2 linked regions of the Styela clava genome follow. Each later gene encodes a partner of the first gene's protein in a complex. Links are inferred from orthologs where the notes say so. Each region holds a gene or a part of one and is shown on either strand. Other genes may lie near its edges.

Region 1 (6,447 bases):
AGATATTATTGTGAAATTTTAGCCTTCAGAGATCCAAAAACTCAACAAATAATTCTTTATTCTGCAACTTTTTTTACTTAAATTTAGGTTTGGATTCCATCACAAACGATCAATTTTGGAATCGTGCCTTTTCAATACAGGTGGGTTTAGTCAGTACTCAGTAATGAATATTTTTTGAAAGCTGCAGCGTTTAAGATTTCTGGCAGAGTTAATTTACTGGAGCGGCTGTGCGACAGTTCATAGCCGCTCCAGTAAATTAAGCATATAAAATTTGTAGCAAAATAAGGGAATTGAGCATAATGAATAATGATATATTAATTATTTGTTCAGAATGCTCTTCTGCCAAATAGTCGCATTGTTCTGGAATTCCTATTTGAGCAACAGAGCTAATCGCACAATTCATAAAGATGTCTATGTGGCTGATGGCAGAGAGAAGAAAGCATGCTGATTTTTTACTGTTGACGAATTGCTCATTGGCTAGAAACATTAGGAGGCCAAGAAAGTATCAGGATGATGAGACCAAGCTGCGAGTACTGCCTATAGTATTATGTATGTGCTGCTGTGCAAACGCAATACCCAAAGCCAGAAGTTAAATATTATTATTTCCTACTTTGCTTCAGAATAAAATTGAGATAGTTAAACCGTCGCAAGTTTTTTTCTCCACTTGGAAATAGGGGAGCTGCTGTTTAGTAACCTTTACACAAAACTGATCGATTTGTTCTTGATGTTACATCTTGAGAAAACAAAGCAGCTTCATCAGTCCTGACTGTTGTAACTATGTATCGCCAGTCAAGATGATAGTTCTTTGTCCTTGAATTACCAACGAATCGCTCGCTACAGTCTTGATCAGAATGCCAATTTCTTTATTAATAAATAAACATTCTGATCAACAGTCATGCCGTGTAAATTGTTTGCATCTCCTTGCAGTCTCATAAGAAGGCCACCGAATGACACATAAGCCGAAAGTCTGGATGCAACTTCGCTGCCAGTGTCATCCCCCTCTATCCTGTATGCCTAAAAATTTATTGGGATTTAATATATATTAAAGAATTAAAAACACATATGAATAATACCATGTTTGATTAGAAACTAATCTTCATAACATTATTTTTAAGGATGAAATATCGTTGAATTTACTGAATCAATTTAATCAGTAAGCAGCATAAATTCCCAACTAAACACAGCTGTCTGATTCGAAGAGTCTTGCTGCACACTAACACTAATCCTATGTGTAGTGTGCAGCAAAACTCTTGAATCAAATAGAATAGTCATCTTTTAATTTTGCTACAGCACCCTTGCATTCTACAAACACAAAGGATTGGTAGGTAATTTTGTGAAACACAAAGTGATGGTTGAGTTTACGGCGTCTATAGCTAAAATACTATTATATGTGTACGTGTACAAACGCTAATTGAATATCCAACCACCAGCAGTGCTTGCATGGTGATTCATATTTTTCCAATAGAATGATGTTCTACATATGTCACAACAAAAACAAATGATCCACTAATCATCATTGTTAACAGTACTACACAACAATATAAGTATCATTTACCCGCATGGGAACCTGAAAAATAATTAAGAAAGTTTACCTTTCCATACATGACATATTCAAACTGATCTGCACGGGTGGGTTGCTGATCCCACAATGGGTTGAATTCTCCATCATCTGGTGCCCCATCTTCATGTAAAGTTGTTGCAAGAACAAGTCGAAACTTATCTCCAAGTTCCATTGGATAAACCTGAACATTTAAATCTTGTGAAGATTCTGAGATTACAGACATGCATTTTTGTGTAGTTCGAAATTTTTTTAAGTCGAGTGTTGGAAATAAATGAGTCAATAATTTACTCGAGCACTCTGAAAATTAACGACTCGAACTCGCCCAAATGTTTTTGGCCTCTCGCCTTGAAGTATCATAAGTTGAAAAATCCGATAACGAACTCGCTAAAGTACGATCTCTCTCCTATCGTGATCGTTGTGACAAGAAAACGAGAGAAATAGCTTGCTCGATTTCGGGTGATTGTCTGCGCGTTTTGGGCGACCATCCGCATACTTTGGTGGGCCTTATTACGCCACTGTGACGTAGTCAGGTGAGGGTTAGGATCGACATATGCAAAAATTGTTAAGCCAGGCCAACTAGAAGTGCATGTGGTACTAAACTATACGGTACCGTACCAGACCATATTAATGTATTTAATAATTTCATAGCGAAAAAGCAAATTAGCTACGAATGCTGTTTAAAAGAGCTGCTATGACTAGACTGCTACAGACACAAGCCGATTTTAGTTATTTCAGCCACAGTCCTGCATCCAGGCATTCCTTACTGTAAATCAAGACCCACCTGTGTGTTTACATCCAAAATCAAGTCCATTTTGAAAGATTCACTGTCACAGTGAAGTCGAGAAACACGATCAAATTTTTTTCCCTCGGGGTCAACATCTTTCACATCAAAAATATCTTCGAATAGCACTCCAGCCATTTCGAAACGACCACACGAACTAAAACGCAAGACGATACACAGAAACCCAGAAATGCAGAACAGCCAGGCCCGACATAAACGCACGCGAGTACCAAACAATTTATTGAAAAATTTTCCTACACGGATATATCGGTTCCCATCTGTTAAAATTAGAATCGCATATATTCCGGAAGAGGATAGGATTTACATGTTTATTCCGGGGGAGAGGAAAGCCGATAAGACGGCTTAATCATATGGCGAACCACGGCCTCTCGTCCGGTTACCAGTTCAGGTCAGGGACTCTTATAGCGTGTATAGCCCAGTGTAGTAGTATTAGGTAATAAGTAAAAACTAATTATTGTAAATACATGAAAGCACAGATAAATAAAATATACTATCGTGCAACAAAGTATAGTTGATAGAATTAATGAAAAGCGGGTCCTACCGCCATGACGATTTCAGTCATAAGCTGTTTTAGAGGGGTTTCACAACCTTTATTCATAATTTGTTCAAGAAGATAAGAGGACTCCTCGAAGTAGCAAGAACAAGTTAAATAGCAACAGAGAGGCAGTGATTATCCAATCTCCATATAATTGAGCTGCCCCAAATACTTATTTCCTCATTGGGGACGAGACTATTACACAAGCGGGCGCAATAGTGTTCATAACACCCAAGTTAATAAGCCAATCATCAAGCCGGATTTGTAATCTCATCAATGCTCATTTCAAATACATACAAGTGTCTCGCGATGTAACAATTATAAGCATTGAAGACCTAATAAAATGTCTATCAATTCTTGTGTCTCATCAGACAAATAGTGTCCACACAATATAATACATCTGGTGGTAATTTGTATTTAAACTCCGATACCAGTCATTCCACTGGGGGTTGAGACCTTACTGCCCGTCAAATCAAAAAACATTTCATGAAAATTCTTAAGTTATGCCACACAGCACCAAATATAAGATTTACACATTCACGCCGAGTAGAGAAGATAACACGACTTAAACATATGGTGTGATACAGCCTCTCGTCCATGTCGGTATAGAATCATTTAGCCAGTTACTTGTTTCAGATGTAGTGGCTTGATGGTGAATGGAGCCATAGCCTATCAGTGGTTACGTGAACCACCCTTCGGCGGTAAGGAGTTCAGCAATCCTCTCGCACATAATTATCCCCCACAGGATTCGAACCCAAGGAGTGTAATCTGGGGTGCTGTAGCATAATTCTAACAATTAGGACGATATGCCAACCCAACTAAATGTGACCAGTGCTGACCATACTTCAACATTCAAATCGTGTATTGCTTGAGATTACGACTAGAGTTATAATATACTCATTTTCCTAAAATTATTCATATGTCTAAGTGTTAGACTATATTTATATTGTGAATTTTTGTACATAATTTGTTTTGTTGAGTTACTATTCCTGGATGACTAACTTTAAGTTGCACATCGTTCCAGTCATTTTCCGATGATATTTATTTGGATCTTAATTCAGCCAACAATATTAAGTTATTGTTCTTAATGAAACAAATTATCACATTTACAAATGAACATTATACTAATAAATTAACTGTTTTTCATTATTTTATCATCATATCCATAAAGTAGCAATCAGGTTCAGGAGCAATAGTAGCATGCGTTGTGAAAAACGACTTTAGATCCAGTGACATTATTAACAAGGCATGATTCAGCATCAAGGACAAAAATGTACACCTTTCCATAGATCATTTATCTCCAGCCACTAAAAGAAGGGCTTTTTCTGAAATGAAGAAACATGATTGTTTATACACAGCCCCACAAATACTGTCTTTAAGACTTCTTTACAGTCATGGCATGGTCGTTATCAACCATTTCAAACAAAAAAATTTATAGGTGAAGCTGTGAAAAAACACATCACTATTAGGTAGCAAATACTGATTTTAATAAAAAAATTTCTTTAGAAACGTAAGTATCCTTTGCAAGTGGTCATTAAACATTTTCCATACTGTAGTTGTGCAATTTTTGTCCACGATAGATTACAAAAAAAAAAAACACTGGGGGAACAAGACTTATGGCAAACTTTTATGTGTGTGCAATGCACTGATAGAGTTTCTATTTATTATTTTATTCCTTACAGACTGCATAATTATAAATCCATCTTACTGTGTGTTCGATCCAAACCCACCAAAGCTACTTGGCTGCTGTTGCTGTGGACTTCCAAATCCTCCAGATTGATTCGCAAGATTACCAAAACCAGGTGTTTCACTACTGGCAAAGCTAAAAAAAGAGTTTGAGTATTTGTAAAAAAAACACAATATGACAAAACTAGCTTACAAGTTATTAACCATTGTAGAAGTTATCTTCATGGACTGGTGAAAAATTGGTCATAATAGTTTATTTAGTTTTTGCCATTCATGGATCTGTATGGCCAAAAGGGAATTAAGTGTCATTTATCATCTGTAATATAATATGTATTGAGCACTGCCACATATAAGAACTGTGCTTCACAAATTTGACTGGTAGTAGAGACTAGAGAATCATCTTCAATGCCCTTTACTTACGATGAAAAACCACCACTGGCAGTTTGTCCAAAAGCTCCACCAGTTGAAGCAGGCTGTGAACCGAATCCACCTCCAAATGTGCTTCCACCAGAGGTAGAACCAAAAGCTGGAGGAGAACCAAATGTAGCAGAAGATCCAAAAGCAGGAGCAGCTCCAAAACCTAAAAGTATTAGCAATAATGTTAAGTGCATCCAGGATATAACAAGCAGCAGCAATGGAATAAAAGTAATAGGACAAGCTGTCAGAATTTCTCATCATTGGCTACCTCAACTATTCAGTGTTAATCTCAGAAAATTTCATGTCAACTATATTGTATAGATCTACTTATTCCTTAAAGTTGATCGATTTCTAAATGTGTATATAATTATTATTTCCAGGGGCGCAGCCAGCGGTTTTACATGGGTGTAACCCTCTCTGTTTGAGAAAAAATTTGATGTGAATTTCATCTACAAAAAAGCAAAGGCTTAGTTTTACGATCGCTCGTCATGGTTTCGCGGTCCAAGCGATATTATTCTGCGCGTTATCACCATAATGCAATTAACATCTACAGACTTATTCCGTCTACAAGACATGTTATCTTTTTTAGTTAGCGCTGATAAGAATAATTAGGAATTTGTAATTGTTGATTGCAAATCCGGAAGGCATATTTTCCCTTCTCTCCATGAAACAGACATGAAACAATTTAACCGCCGTTATGGGCGCTTAAAAGAAGAGAAGGGTCATAAGCTAATTTAAGGACTTTCTCTTCCCAACTAAATCACTTTTATTTTAATACAAAGCACAGCGCATTAAAAAGCAAAATAGAATTTATTAACAATAATTTACAACGAGTTACGGGTAAGAATTTACCGATGGCTATCGCTAACTGGTAGAAACGATAAATGTGAAAAAAAATTTTCCTTGCCTCTTTGCGTCATATTTTTCAATTCCTAATTTTGCATAAAGCGTGTGAACACCGTTTTTGTGAATTTAGAAATGTCGAACCAGATAAGTAGGACAGGTAAATAATGTATTTTATGAAAATTTCTCGAGATATTGGGAAGAAATATATATCATTTTGACCATGTAGAAATTCCATTATTGCCGATTTATTCATGTGTTTAGTATCAGTGATTTAACCCAAAGCTGAGTTACGTAAATACTCAACACTGAGTATTCAAGAGATTACCAATTTGCAGAGCTATTAGTTATTATTCAATACGAAAGTAACACGAACGCAATCTAAAATTAAAAGCATAAAAATGTCAACTATCCGCTTCACAAATATCGCCTCCCGGGGTCAGTAATGATAATATTGTTCGTTTAAAATTGGGACCGTGATACAACTCCTACACAGAAGATAAAAATGAGAATAAAATTGATTTGTGTTGTGAATGCACTCCCTAATATTTGTCTCTAACATCTCCGCCGATGTGAACTCGCAATTCTGTCCGAAATATAAAA
Region 2 (5,189 bases), on another chromosome or scaffold:
TGTCAAGGTTTGATAGTAGTAGAGAAGTAGAAAAAATACTTCCATGTTTTTTTTTATTTGATAACCACGCCACAGAACTTCCCCGATAAGTATACGCAGCAATTGCGAGAGGCAGAAATGCTAAGATGGGATTTCATCGCATTATAAACCAATATTAGCAATTCTTATATATATTCGCGCATTCCCAGCTGAACAGCGTGAAAAAGATTGTACCCATCTACACACTTTAAGAACTATGTCAGATGAGCGTCATATTATCGAATATCAGTAAAGGAATAGTGCAAAGGGAAAAGACATATAAGGCGAAACTTTCAGTAGTATGCAATCAAATAATCTTATTGTAGAATATATATTTAAAAACATTTCGTCACGCCAACTGCAGTCCGAAACTTTTTGTCTCTGGCTGAGCTTAGATACCAATTGGCACTCATGTAAACTGGTAAGACTGTAAGAGGCACGCGATGGAGCAGATACTAAGAGTATCCATCCCCCAGCTGTCATTTGAGTGGGTACTGCTGTTTTTATTGCAGATGTTACGGATCTTTTTGTATTAAAGATTTACTGGCATCACCGATTTAAGGATGTTGGAAACCAACCCGCAATATTACAAAACTTACTTCCAACACGCGGTTTGAATGAATGAAAAAGCTGAAACTAGTATTCTTTAGAACAGCATACAAATTCTATGGAATGAAATCATACACAAAAGCTCGTCAAAAACCTATAGCTCAATAATCAAATGGAATTTGATGCATGTGCGCAAAAATGTGCTCGTTACCACGTATAACCGAAGCACGCAGGAATATGCGTGTGATGTACTAGTATTCAAAACGTTTGACTCAACTATGTTGGCATAACAGGTGCACATCTCGGTTTCGCATACGCATACCTTCTATCTCCACAAGGATATATTAATTTTGCCAAAGTCAATGCAGCACTGAAAAGTTGCGGTTCTTCCAAAAGAAAACACGTTACACATCTTTAGATACCAGTGGATGGTATTACATGGCCTTGTTCGGAGTGAAAGACGAGGTCAAATATTCCAATCCAATTCAACTAATAAAATATTTCCCAAGTCCCTAAGCTTAAACTAGGAAAACGAAATGCCAGATGTAGTTTGAAGAGCGCAATAGAAAGTGGATAGATGCTGTCGATGGATCTTGGTTTGTATTAGTGAAATAAACTACCATTTATTCTACTAAAATTGAATTTCTGACATTGTAAGGAGATTCAATGTTACTATGTATGCAAACCTAAACCATGTAGTTATGAAATAATTGTTTTTAACAAAAAGGCGCTCTTGAAGTATTTGTACCAAGATGGCGCACAACCTGAACACTGTATGGTTACCAGGTTAGGGTTCAGAATGTGCGTCATCTTGGACCGAATACTTTAAATCCACCTATAAAAAAAAATTGCTCAAGATTACTCCACACCCACCTGGGTATCATTATATATGTCATATACATTATATCTAAACAATAAAAAAAAACTTTATGTTCCAAAACAATGTTAAGGCCCGATTCTGCCGGACTATCTTATCCAAAATGTATAGTTTACAAAAAACAAATTAAAATATAAACCTCACTGATAAATGGTGGCAAAATACACCCATATAATGTGCACGTAAATTAATATGTCCGTTTCTGCTTGTCTGAAGCCCTGCTTAGAGTGATATCGCGTAACGTCATATTAATATATTGTAGCCCAATACATGATCTATGGCTGGACATAAAATAACAAGTCCCTCCTTATGTGTGTGTGGTAGGGAGGCCGCTGCCCTCGCTGAGTTTGTTAACGTAGTCGCAGACGCCATTACGGGTGATCAGCTCTATTTTGTTACTGTGACGTCGCATTGGCGTAATTTTTTGATGACGAAGTCAGGTGAAGGTCATGAATATTATATGCGAAAATTGTTACGCTAAGCCTAATAGAAGGTATTGAGGTATGAAACTACACCCATAGCGAACAGACAGGCGTATTTAACACGATTGCATTATGGTCGCTATTATTAGGCAAGCTCTATTTCGTTATTGTGAATTCGCATTGACGTAATTTTTAGATGACGAAGTCAGGGCAAGGTCAGGAATGATATATGCAATAATTGTTACGCTAAGATAAGTATAAGTCATTGAGGTAAGAAACTACATCCATAGGTGGCATAAATAGTAATCGTCGCTATTATTGAGCAAGCTCTATTTCGTTATTGTGACGTTGCAGTGACGTAATTTTTGGATGACGAAGTCAGGTGAAGGTCATGAATATTATATGCAAAAATTGTTACGCTAAGTTAACTAGAAGTTATTGAGGTAAGAAACTACATCCATAGCGGACACACAGACGTATTTATCACGATTGCATTATGGTCGCTATTATTAGGCAAGCTCTATTTCGTTATTGTGAAGTCGCATTGACGTAATTTTTGGAACATGAAGTTAGGTGAGGGTCAGGAATAATATATGCAATAATTGGTACGCTAAGATAAGTATAAGTTATTGAGGTAAGAAACTACATCCATAGGTGGCATTAATAGTAATCGTCGCTATTATTGAGCAAGCTCTATTTCGTTATTGTGACGTTGCCGTGACGTAATTTTTGGATGACGAAGTCAGGTGAAGGTCAGGACTATTATATGCAATAATTGTTACGCTAAGATAAGTATAAGTTATTGAGGTAAGAAACTACATCCATAGCGGACACACAGGCGTATTTATCACGATTGCATTATGGTCGCTATTATTAGGCAAGCACTATTTCGTTATTGTGAAGTCGCATTGACGTAATTTTTGGAACATGAAGTCAGGTGAGGGTCAGGACTATTATATGCAATAATTGTTACGCTAAGATAAGTATAAGTTATTGAGGTAAGAAACTACATCCATAGCGGACACACAGGCGTATTTATCACGATTGCATTATGGTCGCTATTATTGGGCAAGCTCGATTTCGTTATTGTGACATCGCATTGACGTAATTTTTGGATGACGAAGTCAGGTGAGGGTCAGGAATGATATATGCAAAAATTGTTACGCTAAGATAAGTATGAGTTATCGAGGTAAGAAACTACATTCATTGCGCTAAGGCAAATTAATGTGTCGGTTTCTGCTTGTCTAAAGCCTTGCATAGAGTGAAAGCGTTCCACGTCCTATTAATAAAATGTGGCCCAATACATGATCAGTCTCTGGATATTAAATAACAAGTCTTTATGTCTGCGGCACCTAACCTCAATCATTGCGTGAATTAAATGTTCTTTCTGTTTGTCTAAAGCCTAGCTCAGAGCGGTATCGTATATCACCCTATTAATAGATCGTAGCACAATACATGAGCTATTGCTGGACATAAAATAATAAGTCTTTATGTGTGTGGTACCCAACTTCAACCATCGCGTAAAATAACATGTATTTTCTGCTTGTCTAAAGCCTTGGTTAGAGTTGTATGGTATAACGCTCTATTTTAGATTGTAGCACGATACATGAGCTATTGATGGATAGAAATTGGTCAGAATGGGATATCGTGAACGTTCCTCGGCGACAATTTAGTCGCTTGTGATTCTTGTGTTTATTTTGAGCTCTGTACAACGACCCCGATAAGAGAGAGGTCGCTGACGTATTGAGTTTGTTGACATACTCGTAGGCGCCATCACGGGTGACCGTCGCTATACTTTGGCAAGCTGTATTTCGTTATTGTGACGTCGCAGTGACGTAATTTTTGGATGACGTCATCAGATAGGGGTCAGGAATCATATATCCAAAAATTGTTACGCCACGCCCACTAGAAGTTATTCAGGTAAGAAAGTACATGAGACCCACACTTATTGAGTTTGCCACTTGCTACACTTTAAAGATTATTTCGTCTTTCCAGAATTAGGTTTGCTTTTTTTTGTATATTCATGGGGGTTACTTGAGTCCCTGAAATGTTTCATGTTGCCACTTGCCACTTTAAAGGATAGGATATGATTTACATATTTATCCCGAGGGAGAGGAAAGCCGATAAAACGACTTAATCATATGGCGAACCACCGCCTCTCGTTCGGTTACCAGTCCATCGGGTCTTACGAGGGCACAACAAAATTTGCTATTGCAGTATTGGTTGTATGCAGTTTACAATTTTCCCAACCATGGCATAAATGTTAGCATAAATAATCCTTACGAGTGGAGGGCAACTCGCCATGGCTGCATGGTGGCTAACTCATAACCATCCTCCCTACTGCCTCTCAGTCTCGCATCCTTAATGCGAAATTTCAACAATGTTTTTATACAGGTATTTAGCTCTGTTCTGTAATTAGAAAAATATGAATAAATGTATGACAACAGAAGATGGTTTTTGTTCAAAATGTGGAGCCATTTTACCACTGCCTGTTGATTCTATGCAATCATACATTACTTGCATCTGTAAGTCAAGAATTCCATGTTCAGAGTTTAATAATATGATTGTAGCTAAAGCTGATATAATACTAAATGAAATTAGAGGCAAATCTACAAAGAAAAAGGCAAGGGATGACAAATCTTCTGGTCCTAAGTTAGAAAGACTATGTGGACATTGCGGGCATAATGAAATGACATACAAAACTCAACAAACTCGATCAGCAGATGAAGGAATGACCATATTTTATTATTGCTTGAAATGTGGATCATTAGAAAAGGAAGATTCGTAGAGATTCAATAATAATGCATATGAAAATGTGTGTCTGGATGCCACAGACTGGAAAATTTATGATGAGTGCGGGGAAAGATAAGATGCTGTTGCAGTTATACTGTGTTTATTTTTATCGATGTGTCAAGTTCATGCATCGGGAATGAATAATTGGTTGACTATTTTCATTCCCAAATCCCAACATAGATTGGAACCTAAATGAGAGAGTGGTTATATTAAGATGTATTATAGACTTTCCTCTTGCTGAGTAAAATATTGAAATCATATCCTAATTCTATTAATGTAATAATGAGTTCTGATTCAATTGAGGAGACTGCTACTAATTTTTTTAGTGTACACTGATACATAAGCATAGCTATTCATTTTGCTGTGAATACAGCACTGTGAATCTTGTTTTAAAATACAAGACTTTGACTGGACTCTGTTTTGTTTTCTTGCTATACAACTGATGGTAAAAAAATTTCAATCGAATTATAAAAAATAGGAGTGTTTAGGAGAGTTATCATGAACAAAAAATTTTTTCAATTTAATTCAGT

Evidence for each region.
Region 2: DNA-directed RNA polymerases I, II, and III subunit RPABC3-like (region 1) and DNA-directed RNA polymerase I subunit RPA12-like share a complex: the UniProt entries of both Homo sapiens proteins name them as parts of the pol I pre-initiation complex. The link is inferred for Styela clava from reciprocal best matches to the Homo sapiens genes POLR2H and POLR1H.

What each region holds. Positions count from the first base shown.
Region 1 is NC_135255.1:11,093,800-11,100,246, reverse strand, and holds DNA-directed RNA polymerases I, II, and III subunit RPABC3-like, read right to left. Parts: upstream 2,584-6,447; 5' UTR 2,481-2,583; coding exon 2,343-2,480; intron 1,743-2,342; coding exon 1,593-1,742; intron 1,015-1,592; coding exon 847-1,014; 3' UTR 583-846; downstream 1-582. Other genes in the region: mitochondrial inner membrane protein Mpv17-like, read left to right, coding at 88-140, 331-448; nuclear pore complex protein Nup214-like, read right to left, coding at 4,193-4,223, 4,607-4,720, 5,005-5,164. UniProt on the Homo sapiens protein: DNA-dependent RNA polymerase catalyzes the transcription of DNA into RNA using the four ribonucleoside triphosphates as substrates.
Region 2 is NC_135256.1:9,246,905-9,252,093, forward strand, and holds DNA-directed RNA polymerase I subunit RPA12-like, read left to right. Parts: upstream 1-4,291; coding exon 4,292-4,654; downstream 4,655-5,189. UniProt on the Homo sapiens protein: Core component of RNA polymerase I (Pol I), a DNA-dependent RNA polymerase which synthesizes ribosomal RNA precursors using the four ribonucleoside triphosphates as substrates. Can mediate Pol I proofreading of the nascent RNA transcript.